Rattus norvegicus: one gene and its partner. The main gene of each other region encodes a partner of the protein of the gene in region 2 in a complex. Links are inferred from orthologs where the notes say so. Each region holds a gene or a part of one and is shown on either strand. Other genes may lie near its edges.

Region 1 (9,222 bases), on a different chromosome or scaffold from region 2:
AAAATTCTACTGCCCACTTTTAGGAATGGGGGCAGGCTCCCCTCTTCTTCTTTAAGGAATCTTAGAAAGAATCTAGAAAGGCTGGTTTATTGAGGTTTAGAAGGTCAGGGGGTCAGAATGGAGGCAAGGGATTTTAGGGTTTCTTCTCTTCTGGATCTCTGCAGGAAGGCACATGTAGACATGGCCGTTTCTCTTCCACCACCAGCTTCTGCCCCTGTAGCACCTCACACAGTGGCCGTGGGATCCCCCAGAAGGTAACATTCTTCTCACCCTGACCTTCAACCATGGAAACTGTAGGCCTGGGGTGTTGGGAAAGCAATGGAGGAGAAAAGCTCAGGTAAGGCAAAAATGTATTGAAAAAAACTGTTTTTTTAATCTCAAACTCAATGATATCCCTGCCTCAGCTTCCCAAATGTGGGAATTACAGGCAAGTCTCATCAATTTTTTTGTGGTATTAGAGACAAAACCTAGGACTTTGTACTTGCTAGGCAAATGTTCCTCCATGCTCCCATAGCATAGCATTCTGTTTATTTGTTTGTTTTTTAGGTTCTACTGACCCTTTCCCTCTTTTACCCAGGCTAACCTTGAACTCATTCTGTAATCTAGAAAAGTCTTAAACATGGTCCTTTTGGCTCCAGCCTTTTAAGCAGTTAGGATTATAGGTTTGTACCATTACACCTGAATTAACATCTCACTGTGCATTTAACTCTATGTCTAACTGTGATATTGGGTCATTTCTGATAAAGAAATAGGAAAGATGATCCCCTGTGCCTCAGTTTTCCCTAATCTACAAAATGGCAATAAGAGGAATATTTTTACCTCTAAACCCTTTTTCTTTCCTCATACTCATGTTAAATGCCTATCTCAAGCCACTACTCCTCTCTTCTTCCTTTTCCTTTCTCTTTTCTTTGTCCCTCCTCACTTTACACAAATAGAACCTTATATCCAGGAAGGTTTTTTCCAGTAAGATTTCTCCTTGTAGGCAAGCTCACTATTCATTTTCACCCAGACTCTCTCAATTGGTCTTTTTCCACACAGCCTCTAACTATGTGGGAAACTTAGGAAATTAAAAACTGGTTCCTAACTTCAGGAACCAGTCTGATCCCCCACATCTGGAAAATCCTATCCCAGTGATAGGCCACTTAACAGCTGGAAAAAGACCATTTAACCTTATTTATGTGGTGTAAGAAGGGATGGGTAACTTAACCCTTTCTAACTCCTGGGCCACTGTGGTGTCCAGTAAACACTGAAGGTGGCTAATCAGCTCTGTCTAGAACCTGCTCACTATCTGGATGTCAGGAAGGCTTCTCCAGAAAGGCCTAATTAGTTTTCTAGGTCCAGAGGGTAGTGCAAGTCTCATTGCTACTCACCTGTCATTTTTATATGCATTTTATCACAACTCACCTGGGTACCTTCTACCCATAGATTTGGGTTCTTTTTTAGTGAGTGTTGCTAGAAAGGCCTTGGAGTACTTCAAGGTAGTGAAATGTGGAGTGGATAAATGGAGGGCATGGATGACTGAGTAACTCAAAAGTATGCTAAGAGGTCAGTGAGAAGGCCACATGAAGGATTGTGTGCATGGGAGTCCAGCTAGGTGGCTGCATTAGAAACTGAGGCTGTGAAGTCTTCCCTAATTGCTTCTCCTCTTTCTTTTGTTTCTCTCCTCTTCTCTAAGGTAGGAGATGGCACTGGCAAGGTAGGCACTTTTGATCCAGGGGCTAAGCTCCAGTTCAGTATAACCAATTCCCCTCATATCCTTCAGCATCATGACCCCCTCCTAGAAACACAATGTTCCCCAACTCACGAGTACTTGGGGAGCAAAGGTGTGCAGAGTCGCTGACGGACACGGGTGGGGTTGGGTCCACATGGTGGTGTGCACAGACCCCAGGTACTCCACTGTGACCATGAACCTTTCACTGCAATGGCAATGGGTAGTAGAATGTCATATAGTCAAAACTGGAGGTCTCAATGAGAAAAGGAGACTGAAGGGGCATAGGGTACCCAGCATAGCTACTACATGGTTGTCCACTCTCACTGTGCTGCCTGTGGGTCACTCACAGACACAGTTATGGATGTCATAGCAGTGTCGAATATCTTGGAGTTTCCCAGTACATGGCTGCCCATCAAATTTGCGGCCACCACAGCTCCTTGAACGTGACTGCTGGCCTGGGATTTCATCACAGCTGATGGACTTCATTCTCACACGGCTGCAGTGACTCCATTTTCCCCAGGCCTCCCACTCTCCATTTACTGTAGAGGCAAGGAGTAAGAGGGTTTGTAGCCAGTAAAGAGCTTCAGGGGAAGGACTGAAGAAGGCTTTGGGAGGGAGTGGGAGTGAACAGATGTAGGGATGAAGGCAGAGAGGTGAACCAGGGTATGGGGGCAGGAAGAGGAGAATCATGCAGGAACAAGGTTTTGGCAGCAAGAAGTGGGCAGCAGTGATGGGCAGGGGGCTTAGGCATGGGCATGGTGCCTCTTGACTTGCTAACCAGGGCAAGGCATGGCTGTGTTACAGACGTGTTTCCGAGTGGCATCACCAGCACAAAAGGGGCCCCCATGACGGGGTACAGGGTGATCACATGTCCGTCGTTCTAGGGTCTGGCCCAGGCCACAAGTCACCGGGCAGGGACTTGAAGGGCCCCATGGTCCCCAGCCACCAGCCACTGTTGGAGTAGGAAAGAAAGTTAAAATAAAGCCACTGTAATCATGCATACTCCCTAGTTTCCTTCCATGTCACCTCTAGACATTGAGGCAAATTGTCTGCAGATGATAGGCTTCTCATCACATGGTACAAGAAATTCCATTCCCTCAAATGGCACACCATCTTTGCCAGAAATCCAAAGCCCCACTAGCTACATGCCAATGGCCTCATCCCTGCATACCTGGGCAAGGTGGTAGGCCACTACAGCCCCGATGCTCATAGGCTGTTCCTGAGCAGGGCTTCCCAGGGGGTTGGTGTGAAGGTGCTGGTGCAGAACATGAGCGGCTTCGTGTCTCCTTAGGTTCTTGAGCTCCGCCAAGGCATGATCCTGAGCAGGCGCTCCAGGGGCCCCAGGATGCCCAGGCCCCATGTGCTGTGGTCAGAGTAGAAGGATGAGCTCTGGTCAAGCATGCATAAAAGTCTTTTCTCCCTGGCAGTTTCTGGCTGTAGCCCAACATTCTAGATATCCCTTCTATGTCCTGCTACTCTTACTCACTGGGGCAGATCTTCTGAGTGTCACAGGCCTGTGATTGCTGGGCCTCTCCGGGGCAATGGCCTCCACACTTAGGAGCAGGATTATCACATAGTCGTTGACGGGTCTGGGTTCCTTTGGAGCAGGTGACAGAGCAAGGCCCCCAGGGTCCCCACTCAGACCAGCCACCCATCTCTGTGGAAGAAAAAAGAGAAGGAAGTGGGGATGGCAACCTAGGATTCCTTCCTTTCATGTATGTCCCACATCATCTTATCCTGTCCTATGTCTTTTCCCTATACCTGGCCTGGCAGTACTGCTCATCTGGACTATGGTAGCCTTCATACTCTTCCCTCTGCTCCACATTTGGCCTGCCCTCTTCCCAAATTCAGTCAAAGCGAATTCCTCCCCATCCCATAAACCAAACCATTCAGACTAAAGCCAATGTCTTCACTTTTGAAAATCCTCCTTCAGCAATCTTAGCCTCCTCCATTCCCCTTAAAGCCATACAAGGTCTGTCCTCAGGGCCTCTATACTGATTCTTCTGGAGCGGGGGGGGGAGGGGGGGGCTGTGTCCATGTCCACATTGCTCATCTTCCTTACCTGGACAGCATAGCTGATCCTCACAGGCCTGTAGCTGCCACTCAAGAGTTCCAGGAGCCGCCTTCTCAGAGCACTGTCCACCCCTACCCACACAGCGCCTGTGTCGCAGCTGGGACCCCTCAGAGCATGTAACTGAGCAGGGCCCCCATGAGGACCATGCTGACCATTGTGGGGACCTGTGAAGAGGAGCCTATGTTCTCTCCTGGTATGAAGTGACAGGATACATCATTGAGAGCCGACTTACCACTTAGGGATGGTGGGTGATTGAACATGAAGAAGTAAATATACAGGAAATATATGATAAATTTCATTTCGCTTCATAGCAAGGGCCCTGGAAACCCCCCAGGGTCAAAGCCAGAAGATGTACAGTAAGCAAATTTAAGGACTAAAAAACCCAGAACTTCTGCCAGGAACTCAATAGGTCACTACCCTGTAGAGTATCAGGCAGAGAGGAAGTACTTAGTAAACAGAAGTTCAGAAGTTCCTTCAGAAACATCCTAGCGATACACTTTGCTTCTGCACAGGACTGACTGGGTTTGCATGCTAATATGGGTATGTACATGCCAGTGTTAAAGAGACATGAACTGTTAGCATGATAAATGGTCCAGAGCTGCTCTCCAAGATCTTCAAACCCATCATCTTTACAATGTTATCTGGAATATATAGTAAGCAGTCATAAAATATATCTATAGTATAGTAAGGCTCAACATACGTAAACTGGAAGTCATAATTAGGAGATTCATGGTGCTTTCAGAGATCAAATTGCCACAAAAGAATTGCACAATCATCAGAATTAAAGATTTGGCATTGCCCTCAGAATTTCCCTAAAGTCCTCCATTTCTATGATGCTTTTATATATGATAAGCATTCAAATATGATCTGTTGTAAGTTAGGAGAATGAAGCCACCATCAAAAATATCTAAGTTGCACTCCACCCACAATGTTTACAGGAAGTCCTGACTTTTAAAGTACTTTTAAATCAGGGTTAATTTTGTCTCTCCTAAGGGACGTTTCACAGTGTCTGGATTCAGTTATTTAAAAAAAATCTTCTCTCATACAATACAGCCTAACTGTAGTTTTCCTTCTCTTCATTCCTCCCAGTACCCCTCACCATAACCTCCTTTCTTCCACAGATCCATTCCTCCTCTTCCCCTTCAGAAAAATGTAGGCTTTCCAGGGATAGCAACCAAACATGGCATAAGAAGATGTAATTAAGACCAGGCACAAATCCTTATATCAAGGCTAGATGAAGCAACCCAGGAGGAGGAAGTGTCCCAAGCACAAAGACACCCCTATTCCCACTATTAATCGGTGCAGAGAGTTATTAAAAACATTTAGGAAAAGGTCAGGTATGTTATAAACTACTAAACAGTGCACAGCTAAGAGCTCATACCCCCAACAAAGAGCTCCAAGCAACAGTGCCAAGATTTTTAAACCCTGAGCTATGGTTATAAGGAGGGCTTGTGGGGGGAGGGGCACTCTTAGAAGCTCCAGGGCAGAGAGTATAGTTTTATATTATAGGGCTCAGCCTAGGTTCCTCCAAACCTGCATGACTGACAGAGGCCCCCATCATGTTCCTGGAAGGCATAGGCAGTGTTGAGACAGCAATCTTCCACCCTGATGTCTCTTCCAAGTAGGCCTTTGCACCTGCCAGAGGGCTCCTCATACTGGGTGAAGCAGAGCACAGGGTCTGAGCCTTCAGAGGAGAGGAATGGGCAATCAGGAGTATGGTCGGCCTGGACATCCCTGGGAGGACATGTGGGCCCTTATCCACTTACCTGTGGTTGGCAGGATAAGCAATAGGAGCAGGAGCCACTGAGGGGCTTGCATTCCAACGGGCATTGTGAACACTATGTTTCTGCACTCCTCACAGAGAGGAGGCTTTGGTTTTGTCTGGACTGACCTGCTCTGGAAAGAGGAACCCAGGGCAGGAGGAACTGGGAGGGTATGGCCCCTTAACTCTGACCTCTTCCTTGAGCACTCTACCTCCTCTTTTCTCCCCTCTCCATTTCCTGAGTCACCCTTGATCCTGCTTGGTCACTCAGTCTTTGTCACCTAATACCCCACGCCACCCAGAAATCTTAGTTTTCAGTCAATGCTTTGGAGACAAATTCTCACTAAAGGGCACTGGAGCCTGAAAGTCTGAAGCAATAACCACCTAGGTGTGTGTCAACTTTGGCTTGGCAAGTCACTTTAAATTCTCAGCTTTGGTTTTCCTTTTTTTTTTTTTTTTTTTGAGATAAGGTTTTGCAACATAGCCACACCTGAAATTTGCTTTGTACACCAGGCTGGCCTTGAACAGGCAAGTAACACCTTGGGTGGCTCATATAATCTTGACTATAGTGGTCAATTTCATGGGGCTTCTGAAGAAGGGTGAAATGAAGGAAGCCCTTGTCAGTCTGTCAAGGAGAAGGCATCAGGGCAGCTACTTTAACTACCATTTTGAAAGCCTAACCCTTTCCTAAAAGTGAGGTTCCTGTGGTCAGCATGTATGTGTGGGAGGTCAATGCAAGGGAAGTGAAAAAGGGAAGTGGCATTGTGTGGGAAGCGATTCAGAATAGGGGAGGTTCAGGCATACACATTGCCTAGGGTGTGTGAGGGTGCATCTGAAGAAACCCTTAGAGTCTACAGGGATAGAGAAAAGACAAAGAGCTGGGCCATAGTCTATTAGAGTACCCAGGGCAGATAATATTCTCTTCTGAGCCTGTTTCCTTTATTGTAAAATGTGCCCACAAGCAGGACCCTGAAAGGTATAGTCCTATAGTCTTAGCTGCTTTGGAGGTTGAAACAAGCAGAAAGAAAGTTCAAGGCTACAGTGTGAGTTCAAGGCTACCCTGGCTGATTTTTGTGGGATTCTGTCTGAAAAATAAAATTTAAAAAGGGGCAGGGTAGAGGTGAGAATGCTCAGTTAAGGTGCTTGCTGCAAAACTTGTTGACCTGGGTTTAATTCCTAGGGCTCACATGGATAAAGGAGAGAACTGACTTCCTCAAGTTGTCCTCTGACATGTGCGCTGTGGCTCATATGTGCAGCGCCTCAATTAAATAAATGTAATAAAACCTTTTAAAGGTTAGAGGTGTAGCTCAGTTGGTAGAGTGATAGCATAGCATTAACGAAACCCTTGGTTTGTTCCTTAGCACCATTTAAATTAGCAACTTGGGTGGGGGAGTGTAGAGGCAAGAGGATCAGAAATTCAAGGCTATCCTTGGCTACACAGCCTGGCTGTGTTTAGTAAACTGGTTTGTTCAACAGTTATTGAGCACCTACTGAGTGTTCTCAGCATTACATGGCTCTCTAACGAGACAGAAAAAAAATCACTGCCTCTGAAGGACTTACTCTACAAGGGGAAACTAGCAGTAAAAATTTTTCACAAAGGTCTCCTGTGACCCCTCTTGGGTGCCAATACTCTCTAGCCTTAGGACACACAAGAATCACTAATAGGGCTTCTTGATCCAACTGCATATTGTTGGATCCTACCTGTTGCTCATTCAGCAGGTGTGGTTAACAAATTAACAGATGTCTAACAAATTCCCAGGAGACACTGATATTGTTTGGAAGAACGTTTTGAGAACCACTATTTTGGTCCCTGGTCCCTTTTTAGTTTTTTTGGTGGGTCATATCTAGAAAATTTACAGTGCCTTGTTTCACTGTTAGTGTGTTAGTGACTGATCCATCTTCAGCCCATTTTCCCCAAAGAAAATCTGAGCTCCACAGACCCGCTTTTAATTTTTTTAAAACAAGCCTCAATGAGCGAAACTGTAGAATCTGCTGTAAAAACAGCACCTTTGTGCCCTGGGGATGTAGTTTAGTGGTAGACTGTCTACCTAGTATGAGCTGGACCTTGGGTTTGATTCCCAGGGTCACAAAAATAAAGAAATAAATAAAAACAACACTCTTGATAATCCACAAAAATGAGCTTAAGAAAGATGACACTTGTTCTCTTGCAGTCACAGATGAGCACCAGTCTACAAATTGAATTAAGATAAAATAAGTTAAAAAAAAAGGGTTGGGGATTTGGCTCAGAGGTAGAGTGCTTGCCTAGCAACCGCAAGGCCCTGGGTTCGGTCCCCAGCTCCGGAAAAAAAAAAAAAGATAAAATAAGTTGATCAGAATTAAAATAGAAGTCCCTCAATAATCTGCACTTGATTTGGGTAGGGGTGATAAAATTTGTTACTATTATCCTGTTATTATTAAAACAATATTATTCTGTTAATATCCACCACAGAAGTACCTTGTTCTCTGAGAGTATATTTGTCTCTGTATGCATTGAACAAAGGAATCTTGTTAAGATTCCATGACTATAGCTGTGGGTGCTATTATCTTGTAAAAAACTAGACTGCAATTCTTTCTGAATGCATTATTCAATCACCTTTTGCCTCACTAATGTTAGAATTGATATTTCTTTTGTTCCTACACAGCATATATCCTCATAGCCCCTGTGGATGAAGGGTATCAACAGTTTTTTTCCCACGTACTTCTAAGGTACTCAAATGACTTCAGATTGCTTATTTAAACAAAGAATGAGAGTCTGGTTTTATTTATTATTGCCTGATAGAATTTACTTATCTGTTCTGTCAGTTTCCCTGAGTATCAACCCAACAAAGGAAGTCTTTTTTTTTTTAATTAAAAAACGGGAAGGGAGATGAAATAGGGTCTTGCTATTTAGCTCAGGTTGGCCTTGAACTCATGGCTACCCTCTTGAATACCTGGGGTTACAGGCTTGAGACAGACAGACAAAGACAGACAGACAGACAGACACACATACACAGACAGACTTCAATACAACTGTTGTTTTAAAATAAGGTCTTTCTGTGTAGCCCAAGTCTCACACCTAGCAACTCTGCTGCCTCAGAATCCTGAGTATTGAGAAGGGCAGAAACTTTTGTTCATTTTGTTAGCTATGAGGTGTTTAGGACAACAAACAGGCAAGAGATAACAGAAGACAAACAATAAACATCTGCTCAATCAATATATGGAAGTGCTAAGAGGATATTTAAAAAAGTGGGCATCACTTTGCAGCATCTATTTCAAGTGCTAGGACCAGATAAAGCTATCTAGAGACAATGCATGAGGAAGGAGTTCTGGGTAAAGGCCAGCATTTCAAGTTTTGGAGAATTGGAGACTAACTCAGGAGACTCAGCTGGAGAGGCTTGTGGAGAAAGAGAAGAGAGGAGGTCCTGGCACATCCATTCTGTGATCTCTGAGACATGGCTTCATTTAATTTCAATCACATTCTCATGTCATATATGCATGTATATTACCTATATACAGAGTTCTAGTCTTCTATAGTCTCTACTATAGCCTCTTAGGAACAGGCTCACATACTTGTTAAAAATTACATTTATTTATTTACTCTGTGTGTGTGTGTGTGTGTGTGTGTGTGTGTGTGTGTGTGTGTGTGTTTGCGCCGTGTGTGCGCGCACGCACTCACACACACATGCACTTGTGTAA
Region 2 (9,205 bases):
CAGACCTTAACTGTCACTTTCCTCCCTCCTTAGCTGTCCAGAACAGCCCCAAGGGTTGCCACCGGGACAAGAGGACCCAGATTGTGTACAGTGACGATCTATAGGAAACCTTGTGGATGGCTTCTAGGACATGAAGCTGGATTCCTTGTGCCTCATATGCCCCCAAGCTGGTCTCAGTAAAATCCTGGGGTAGAAGCTTTTCACCTCTGTCAGCCTCTAGTCTTTGAGCACTTGGGATTGGAGTTGAGCCTTCAAAAGCAGCTGTCAGTGTTGTTAACCAGTGCACGCCCCACTCCCTTACCCCAAAAAGATGTGGAACACACTTTGTATTTGTATTGTAGCTGCTTTAATCTGCCCTCACCCTCCCAGCAGGAAGCTCCTTATAAGAAACCCAAGTCCTCGTCTTTGAGCTTCTCCTTTAGCCAGGGCAGCACCTGGAAGAGATTGATGTGGAAGTCCCGGGCATAGGAGGGCACCAACTGTTGCCGCCTCGGGTCTTTGCAGACATCCACTACTCCCCAGCTGATCACACCAACCTGTGTAGATAAGGAGGGCCATGGTCACTTGACACTTCATAACCCCAGAAAGCTTCTGAGCTGGCCTAAAGAAGTGCACTGGGAGCCAGCTCCTCTCTCTTCTATGGTGCACATAACCTGGCTTTCACTGGCCAGTTAAGAACAGATGAGGTGGGCCCGTTCTGCCACCTTTATCAGCCGTGCACATCAAGCTTCCTTTTTTGTGACACCTGAGCATCTCCCCAATGGACTGGAAAAGGGACCACTCACTTGAATGAAGCGGCTTCTCTTGTGAACAATGAGAGGGCCCCCGGAGTCTCCTGTAGAAGAGAGAGGCTGTAGGGGAGACTGCTGGGCTGTGTGGGCTTGCCGCATAGCCAGAGAGCCACCTCACCTTTGCATGTGTTGGGGTCAGCATAGGGATCTACCCCTCCGGTGCACAGGAACCTGGGGGTGACCACCTCAGAGGCAACTTTGACCTTCTCATAGCCTTGGGCCTTTGTAGCATCTCTCTCACAACTGGCTTTCTGTAGGCGACAAAGGTGTGGTAAACAAAACTAGCTCAGGAAAGAATGAGGCCTATGTGACCCTCTCCAGAAACTTCTTATCACCTTTTCCCCATTCTTGATGTACACCTCCTTCCGGGTCAGCTTCTTCCCTTCCTCGGATACAAACAGAGCTTTGACGTCCTTCATAGGGAGCAACTCTTCCTCTGGAAAAGTAAAAGGGCCATGCCAGCTGTCCCCTTGCTTCTCATCTAGCAGGTGTCCCTTGGGCCCTTAGGTGCTAGGCCCTGAACTGAGCAGTTTACACTTGCAGCTCCCTCCTCTGCCCCTTTGTCTCGGGAGTCTCCTCCTTGTCTTAGCCCAGACTATGCCTTACTGTGCTGTTTGCAGGTGGCTGTCTGAGGAAGCCGCAAGGCTCGGGTGGTTCCCTCTGTGCAGGGGAGACAGATGGGCCTATGGAGACAGGTAGAGTGAGGGACCACAGACAGCCTGTTGTGTCCTATGCTCCAGCCCACCTTCCCTAGTTCCTCTGGGACCCAGCCCCACTCACCTGAGAGTCTGGCTGTACTTCAGCTTGGTCTTGAGCTTGATGAGGGCAACATCATAGTCATAGAACTCAGAGATTCCTTCTGCCTTTTTCCCATTGATGTCGTAATTAGGGTGGAACAGGACCTCTTCAATCTCCAGGTCCCGCCTTTTCCCCTCTGAGTGAAGGAGAATGGGAACCATGTTTATGTGAGCAGCCTCCTTCCTCTGGCCCCATCTTATCTCTTGGATTCTGTTTCCCCATCCTTGATTGGTCAGGGTTTAAGGGAGGGGCATGCTGAGAATGGGTGAGCTACAGGTCATAACGTCAGTGCTTCCTGAGGATGGGCCTGGAGGTCAGAGTCTTACCCACGTTGACCTTGATGGAGTGTTTCTGATCTTCCACTGTGAAGCAATGCGCTGCTGTCAGCACGAAGTACTCGGACACCACGGCCCCCATACAGTTCTCATGTCCTTTCAGAGGACGCTAGGAAGCCAGTGCAGACTAACCTTGGTGTGTGCGCTGGAGACAAGCTTCGTACAAGCTAGGTGAACACTAGCCCCAGCTTTCTTCTCTTCATTACATCTACACAGCTTTACTGTGTAGCCCAGACTAACCTGAGACTCAAGGCAGTGCTGTGCTCACTTCCAAATGCCAGGTTACCAGCACGGATGTGTCCCATGCCCAGCTTCCTTTCCCACTTTCAGTCAGTTTTGAATTGATTGACCTTGAACTCACTGTAGCCCAAGCAGGCCATGAATCTACCCTGCCTCAGCTTCCTGAACAGCCAGGATTACAGCTAGTGTGGACATCTCACCTCCCCAAGTCCCCAGTGCTGGGAAGCTTACAGTGACTGAGATCTTGGCTTGCCATGGTTGCTTGTAATAATCACCGCCTTTCTGATGCTCCCACACCATGCCACAGAGACCCAGAGATTTGGTTTCATCTGTCAGGGAAAGAACACTGAAGGCTTGTCATTGCTGCCACTTTTGTTGGATCCCTTCATGTCTGTAGACAGCAGAGGCACAGAAGAGGGAAGGAAAGCAGGAGAGAGGGCTCTTGTGTGTTAAATGAGGAACCCCCATGGCGTAGTGAGAAAGATTGACCAGGCAATCTGAGGACTGAGCATTTTTAGCTACAGTCTGGGTGCTGACTTGCTGTGCTTGGCCTCAGTTTCCACATCTGTAAAGTAGGCTATCAGTTCTGTGATTGTGAGAAGTCAGGAAGTGAATGTCAGAAGTAAGAATAGGCATGGGGTGAGCCTTCCAGGTTTTAAGGGCTATAGGGTGAGAGGAGTTGGCGACCTCAGCCTGCAGCTTCCCCTTCCACACCCTTGAGCCTGAGCTTTCCTACCGATCATTTTGTAGAAGACGTTCTCCAGATCCTCCATGTCCTTGACCTTGAACACATGCTGCTCATTGTTCTTTTTGGAAGCCAAGGCATTGATGTTCACAGGGTCCACCAGAGGCCCGACCCCAAACACATACACATCTGAAGGAGAGAAGGAGAGGGTAAGGGTCCAGGCCCTGAGGAGTGAGGGTGCTGGATCCCAAGTGAGCCACTCACCCAAATAATCCTCCCGGGGATTTTTGCGATCCCTGCCAATATCCAGCAAGTCTCGGATGTCCTCAATGACAGTGACAGGGTCTCCACCCATGTTGTGCAAGCCTGTGGAAACAGGAGGATTGTGAAAGTGGGTCAAGGAAGATACACCGGCTGGAGACAAACACTTGTGCAGGACTTGAGAGGACGGTGGGGTAGGAGAAAGGCCTTACCATCAGTCATGATGATGATGACGTGGCGGGTTCGATTCCAGCCTTCAGGCGGAGCATCCCCTGGCCAGCTCATCATGCTGTATACAGCCTGGAGAGCCTTCTTGGTGTTGGTCCCTGACTTCAGCTTGTGGTCTATAGAGAAAGGGAGGTTATTGACCTTATCTTCCAAGCCACTATTACCCCTCAGAAGTCTATGACAACTAAGATCCCACATTCTTTAACATTTACTATGTAGACCATGCTGGCCTTGAACTCTCAGAGATCCACCTGCCTTTTGCATGTTGGGATTAAAGGCTTGTTCCACCAAGTCCAGGCAATATTTAACTTTTAGGTGATCACCTGCTTGCCCTTGGCTCTCCCAGCACTCTCTATTGCTCAAGGACACTTTCGTTCAACCTCTAACTAGTAGTAGTCTGTCTACTTTCTCCAGAAGAACCCTGAGCCTCTTGACCACCACAGCCCCAAGGTGCACCTCCCGGCTTTCCCTTCCCTGACCTCTGACCTTCATAACTGATTTGGTTGAGCTTCTCTGTGACCCAGTCGGCATCACTACTCCTCTCCTCAGACACTCTGACCAAGACTTTGGGGACTGTGGCATATGTCACTAGACCGTATCTTGGCTTCACCCCATAACTCGCCACCTGTGCATGAGCAAGAGGCCATTGTGTTAAAACTATGGTGGGTAGTCAGCACTCCTACTGAGACAGGGAGAAGGCTGGAGGACAACAGGACTCGGACCCAGAGAATCTGGAGACACAGGAAACCAGTCTTGTAAGAGCAGTGGAGTCCACACAAGCTCCCCTTATTCCAAAGGGATGGAAGCTGTGATCTACCTTCTCAATCAAGTTGGCGAGACACCGCTTGGCCCCTGTGAAGTTGCTGGCCCCGATGCTGTCGGATCCATCCAGCACCATGTAGATATTCATGGAGCCCGAGGGGTCCAGGATAATCTTCCTCTTCTGCTGTTCCCCTAGGTACCAGCAGAGTCTCAGTCTCTGGCATGTGCAGTACCTGGCAGGCCACCCACCCTTCCCTGAGCTTCCTGCTCAACCTCCCTCCTTGTATTCAAACCTGGGCTGTGCCCATCCTCCGCATCTGCTCCTTCGATGGTCTCTGTCAGGGAGGATAGAAATGCTTCGGCCACCTCTTGAGGGCTGTCGTACATGAAGGAATCTAGGGATGATCAGAGTAGATCAGATGTCTGGAGTACTGAGGACGTACTGACAGGGTGATGGGATTTCAGGACCAGAGACTTCTAGTGTGGAGCCAACAGGGCAAGAGCCAACCCAGGAAGCAGGTCAAGGGTCACCTTGGCAGGAAGGCTCTGTCCCACTCCACGAGCCACCTTCCTGGCACCTTCGCTGCTGGGAGCCACGTAGGACAAGTCCCCGACTACAGTGGTAAGTGACAGTGTCTTCAAGACGGTACTGGCTTCCCACCTTCCTTGTCCCAATAGGAATACCCGGGTTGGGACAGTATCCCGCTGCAGAGACATGAAGACAATTTGAGTGCTCGTGCATTCCCACGGTGAAGCCCTCCAGCAGGGAGTAAAATCAGGGGTGACCTGGTTCTCACCTCCATCATCACAGATTGCTGTTTGCCCATCCCACCGGCCATTCTCTTGGCAGGTGCGATTAGCAGAGCCCCGGAGAGTGTAGCCATCATAGCATTGAAAAGAAATCTGATCACTCAGGTTGTAGTAGGGGGACCGGGGCCAGAACTCCCCATTTTCAAAGTCCTGTGGTCGTGGGCAGCGTATTGCTTTAGGGGAGACAGGTAAAAGTCACCAAGAGCTGTTTCTAGGTCCTTCCTGCTCTTAGAAATCCTGTCACTGAGAAACAGTACCTGCCCAGTCCCCTCAACCCTGCTGTCCCCTCCTCTTGTGTTGTGGGATTATTTTGTTTTGTTCTGAGACACGGGCTCATGTAACCCAGGCTGGCTTCAAACTGGCTATGGAGCTGAAGATGACTGAATTTGTCCCCCTCCTGGCCCCATGTCCTGAGCGTTAGGATTGCGGGCGCCACCCCTGCTCCTGCTTCGCACAGCATTGCTTTATGCACGGCAGGCGAGCACTCTCCCAGCTGATCTACATCTCCAGACTCCCTTGCCCTGTTTCCCAGTATTGTTTTCACTGCCTGAGGAAAGCCTTCGTACACGCACCCCCAACCCCCGAGGTGTTTCCACGCTCAGCCGGCCCACAGGTCAGACTGCCAGGCACTGAACAGCCTCCATCAGCTCTGACCAGCCACCCACCGCCACACTCCCAAACCCCCAACCTCTGCATTCTGCCTTCTTGACAATCTTTTGGTCCCGGGTCTGGAGGACACTCCAGGAGCCTGTGGATTTGCAGGTTCGAGTCTGCACAGGGTATGGGTAGAAGCCAGAGGGACACAGGTACTCCAGGGCCTGACCGTCTTGGAGAAGTTGGAAGGAGCCGCCTTTGATCTCTACTCCCTCCAGAGAGCAAGAGACCTGGGGCCGGGCCTCAAGCACTGGAGTTGCGCTCACACCTGAGGAGAAAGGCTGGTGAAGCCTGGCCCCAGAAGACCAAAGACAGCTGATGAGGACAAAAAGAGGATGGAGTGTCCTTTGCTTACCTCCGGAGGAGAGGCCTAAGACCAAGAGGACTAAGCAGAGCTGGGGACCCTCCATTGTCATGGAAAGCCCGTGGCCAAAAGCCCTTTCCAGTTCACTCTGGGTGGCTACTTGACTTGCTGTCCAGACTGAAACTCCAGTGCTGGATCTGGCTACACCCCTTTCCCACCGGCCCCTAACCTTTTATGCAATCTGCTCTGGCACCTGCAGCCTGGCCAACCTACCCTGCACAGACGCTGCTTCCCGGAACATTCATGAAGGAGGGCCCCTGCTGAGCTGCCAACTGAGGAAACAGAAACTATGCGAGCGCCCCACCCTTTACTGACCAAGGGCCAGAACTTCCCTTTCAGAGCTCCCTCTTAGCCCCCAGACCCTAGTAACAAGCCCAGACCACCCCCACCGCCACCCCCCACTTAGAGACCAGTTTTCCCCGGGCTGTGTGATGGGGCAGAGTCCAGCCACTGTTTGTGCAGCAGGGTCTCTGACCTTCCTGGAACCTTCCTGGCCTCCCCACCCCCAAGACATAAGACAGACCGGATGTGGAAATCATTGATTTTTATTAATTTCATAACTGGGAAATTCTGTGTGAAAGCAAAAGGAGCACGGGTCATCCACACTAGAGAGACACTTGCTTCTCGGGAGGGCACAGTGGTTCTGGCACAACCCTGGGGATTCCTAGCTTTTGTCTCTGCGTTCCAGGATTTATGTACCTGGGAGCAAGAACACTCAGAGGCAGAAGACAGGAGGGACAGACCAGCAAAGGAGTCGGTGACCGTGTTAAAGGGGCAAAAAGTCGAGGACACCATCCAGGTGCTGCCTCAACCAGGGCTGCAGCCGGAAGAGACTGATGTGGAAGTCCCTAGGCACAACGCCATGCGGAGGCTTCCTGCGCAAGTTTTTGTTGGAGGAACCGTGACAAGGGTCAAAAAGACCCCAACTCACCAGGCCCACCTGGAGGGAAGAGACAACATGAGGAGATAAAGGCAGCCCCACTCCAAGCCTCCACCTCTCTGGTTCCCCTCAAAGGCCTCCCACCTGCTGCCAGCAAGAAAGCACTTGTATCCTGGCAGTGAGTCCCCTCTCCAGATCCTGCTTCTCACCTGGAAAAACCTGTACCTCCGCTCAAGGAAAACGGCTCCCCCGGATTCTCCTGCAGAGAAAGAAAGGGCGGCATTGTCCAGGACAGCACACTAGTTAGTATTCAGAGTGAGTGCTGACCACGGGGACACCACAGCCTTCTTTCTCCCTGGAAGTCCGGGACCAGACTAACCTTTGCAAGGACTGTCATCTCCCTCCATCCCGCTACATAGGAACTGGTCTGTCACCACCTCACTGACGTTTGTCAAGCCGGGGAAGCTGCCCTTGTTTTGGGAGACAGCCTCGATACAGCTTGTCCTCTGCAGCGTGGGGCACAGGAGAGAAGAATGGGGACGTGCCAGGAGACATTAGGCAGACCAGCGAGGTCCGACTCCAAACAGGGCCGGACACTCTAGGAGCTGCCCCCCCCCCCAGAGTATCCCAGCATCCCTCACTGAGCTCTCACCTCAGGTCCTGTCCTGAGGTTGATGTTCATTCTGTTCCCGTTCAGAGCTACGAAATGCGCAGGAACCTTCTGCTGTGACAGAAGTTCTGTCTCTGCCGTCGGGGAGAAGGGGGATGTCGATACAGGTCTCTTTACCCAGAGCTGATGTGTCCAGCTCGAGGACTGCAGCCCCCCCCACCCCTGCTGGCACCCCGCAAGCAAGCTCTGGCGCAACCCACCAAGGACCTCAAGCCTCCAGCACTCACCATGGTCTTTACAGGTACTACCTGGGGATCTCCGCAGAGCCATGTTGGCCCCCACTGTGCAAGGAAGGCAGATGGGCCTGGGAGAAAGGCGAGCGAGCGTCAGACAGGCCCATCCTCCCTGTGCCCTCTGGTGCTTTCCAGAGCACTGCCCTCTCTAGGGTACCCTCCCACCTAGGTCCACGCACCTGGCGTGGCTGGACATTTTCACTCTCTGAGACAGCTTCAGCAGGGCAATGTCATCAGCGTAGAACTCCGAGATGCCCTGGCTCTGCTTTGCGTGGACATTAAACCCAGGGGCAACTAACACCTCCTCCACATGGAATTCTTTGCCGTGATGAGAGGTGGGATCCCCTGAGAACAGCAGTGGGTTAGACCGGACCAAAGGCTGAGGAGAGACAGTGGTGACTCTGGCCTTGCGGGTGAGGGGTCGGTCCCCTGCAGCCCCTGACTTACCCACGATGACCCTCCACAGGTGGCGGTCCTCCATCTGAGCGTCATGGAAGCAGTGAGCCGCAGTCAGCACCCACTGGTCAGAGATAAGCGACCCCTGGCAAGTCTCCTTACTCTTGGGCTGCAGGGAAGAGACAGCAGTCCGGGTTTGCCGTGCCTGGCTGCTTTTAAACCTCTGTGACCCGAACCCTGCCCCTCCTTCCTGATACCTTAAAGGTGACTTGCCAAGGTGTCCTCTCCTGGTCAGAGGCATTGACGGACATGTTCCCCACCCCACAGATGGTGTCTGTGAGCTTAGAGACATCTATGGGCGAAGACCAGATGGGAGGGGACGGGGGTGAGGGCCACCGATCCAGGCTTCGTGGTGAGCCCCCCCCCCACCCGTCTGAGTGCCCACTGTGCTGTCCCCCGCAGGGGACACGAAGCTCACTCACCCAGAATGTGCTCAAAGACCTGCTGCACAGCTTTTGCGTCCTGCAAGATGAAGGCGTGCCTCTCGCCGTCCTTCTTGGACCCCAGCTCGTTCAGTTCCTTCCAGTCCACATCCAGCTTACCCACCCCAATCGCATAGATGTCTGGCAGGCAGGAGGGAAATCACCAGAGCCTGAGACTCAAGGGGCCACCCAAGACATGAGGCAGGTGTTTGAACTCTCAAAGCCGACAAAGGCCTGAGTTAGATGGGCTCCATCTCCTTCACACACACACACACACACACACACACATACACACACACACACACACACACACACACACACACACACACACACACACACGTTCACTTCCTCTCCTACTGCCACCCAGCCCCCCACAGCCTCCTAGATTCCCTCCTCAGGCCTCAGCTCCAGCTGCACCTCTGGCTGGGGCGCTCTCCTCCAGATGCCCACACAGGTCTTCCTCAGCAATGTCTTCTGAACCTACAATGCCCAGTACCCTCCCACGCCACCCCCTCTTGGCTTCACATCATGTCACCACTTGAATGCTGAAGGGCTACCTTGTTTCTATCCTGTGTATAGCACCGTGTGTTCCCAAAGGAATGTTTCCAAGTTCAAT

What was found.
Region 1: the proteins of Cfb (region 2) and Cfp are in contact, whole or in part, in a crystal structure (PDB 7NOZ), measured with the Homo sapiens proteins. The link is inferred for Rattus norvegicus from reciprocal best matches to the Homo sapiens genes CFB and CFP. Residues at the interface, in NP_001701.2 of Homo sapiens: Glu54, Gln56, Ser78, Thr316, Tyr317, Leu349, Ser351, Met394; in NP_001138724.1 of Homo sapiens: Arg329, Arg330, Asn331, Lys333, Pro341, Met420, Val421.

What each region holds. Positions count from the first base shown.
Region 1 is NC_086039.1:3,711,963-3,721,184, reverse strand, and holds Cfp (properdin precursor), read right to left. Parts: upstream 5,635-9,222; 5' UTR 5,616-5,634; coding exon 5,552-5,615; intron 5,470-5,551; coding exon 5,319-5,469; intron 3,950-5,318; coding exon 3,774-3,949; intron 3,369-3,773; coding exon 3,198-3,368; intron 3,075-3,197; coding exon 2,883-3,074; intron 2,664-2,882; coding exon 2,490-2,663; intron 2,251-2,489; coding exon 2,059-2,250; intron 1,917-2,058; coding exon 1,805-1,916; intron 300-1,804; coding exon 134-299; 3' UTR 72-133; downstream 1-71. UniProt on the Homo sapiens protein: A positive regulator of the alternate pathway (AP) of complement. It binds to and stabilizes the C3- and C5-convertase enzyme complexes. Inhibits CFI-CFH mediated degradation of Complement C3 beta chain (C3b).
Region 2 is NC_086038.1:3,972,257-3,981,461, reverse strand, and holds Cfb (complement factor B precursor), read right to left. Parts: upstream 6,192-9,205; 5' UTR 5,981-6,191; coding exon 5,920-5,980; intron 5,833-5,919; coding exon 5,599-5,832; intron 5,084-5,598; coding exon 4,898-5,083; intron 4,806-4,897; coding exon 4,632-4,805; intron 4,496-4,631; coding exon 4,394-4,495; intron 4,293-4,393; coding exon 4,156-4,292; intron 3,964-4,155; coding exon 3,825-3,963; intron 3,455-3,824; coding exon 3,323-3,454; intron 3,216-3,322; coding exon 3,114-3,215; intron 3,039-3,113; coding exon 2,901-3,038; intron 2,494-2,900; coding exon 2,396-2,493; intron 2,034-2,395; coding exon 1,916-2,033; intron 1,726-1,915; coding exon 1,572-1,725; intron 1,475-1,571; coding exon 1,398-1,474; intron 1,228-1,397; coding exon 1,127-1,227; intron 1,043-1,126; coding exon 910-1,042; intron 836-909; coding exon 786-835; intron 537-785; coding exon 381-536; 3' UTR 324-380; downstream 1-323. Other genes in the region: Nelfe (negative elongation factor E), read left to right, coding at 34-104; complement C2, read right to left, coding at 6,695-6,868, 7,018-7,067, 7,188-7,314, 7,461-7,552, 7,706-7,782, 7,891-8,056, 8,159-8,276, 8,365-8,459 and 1 more.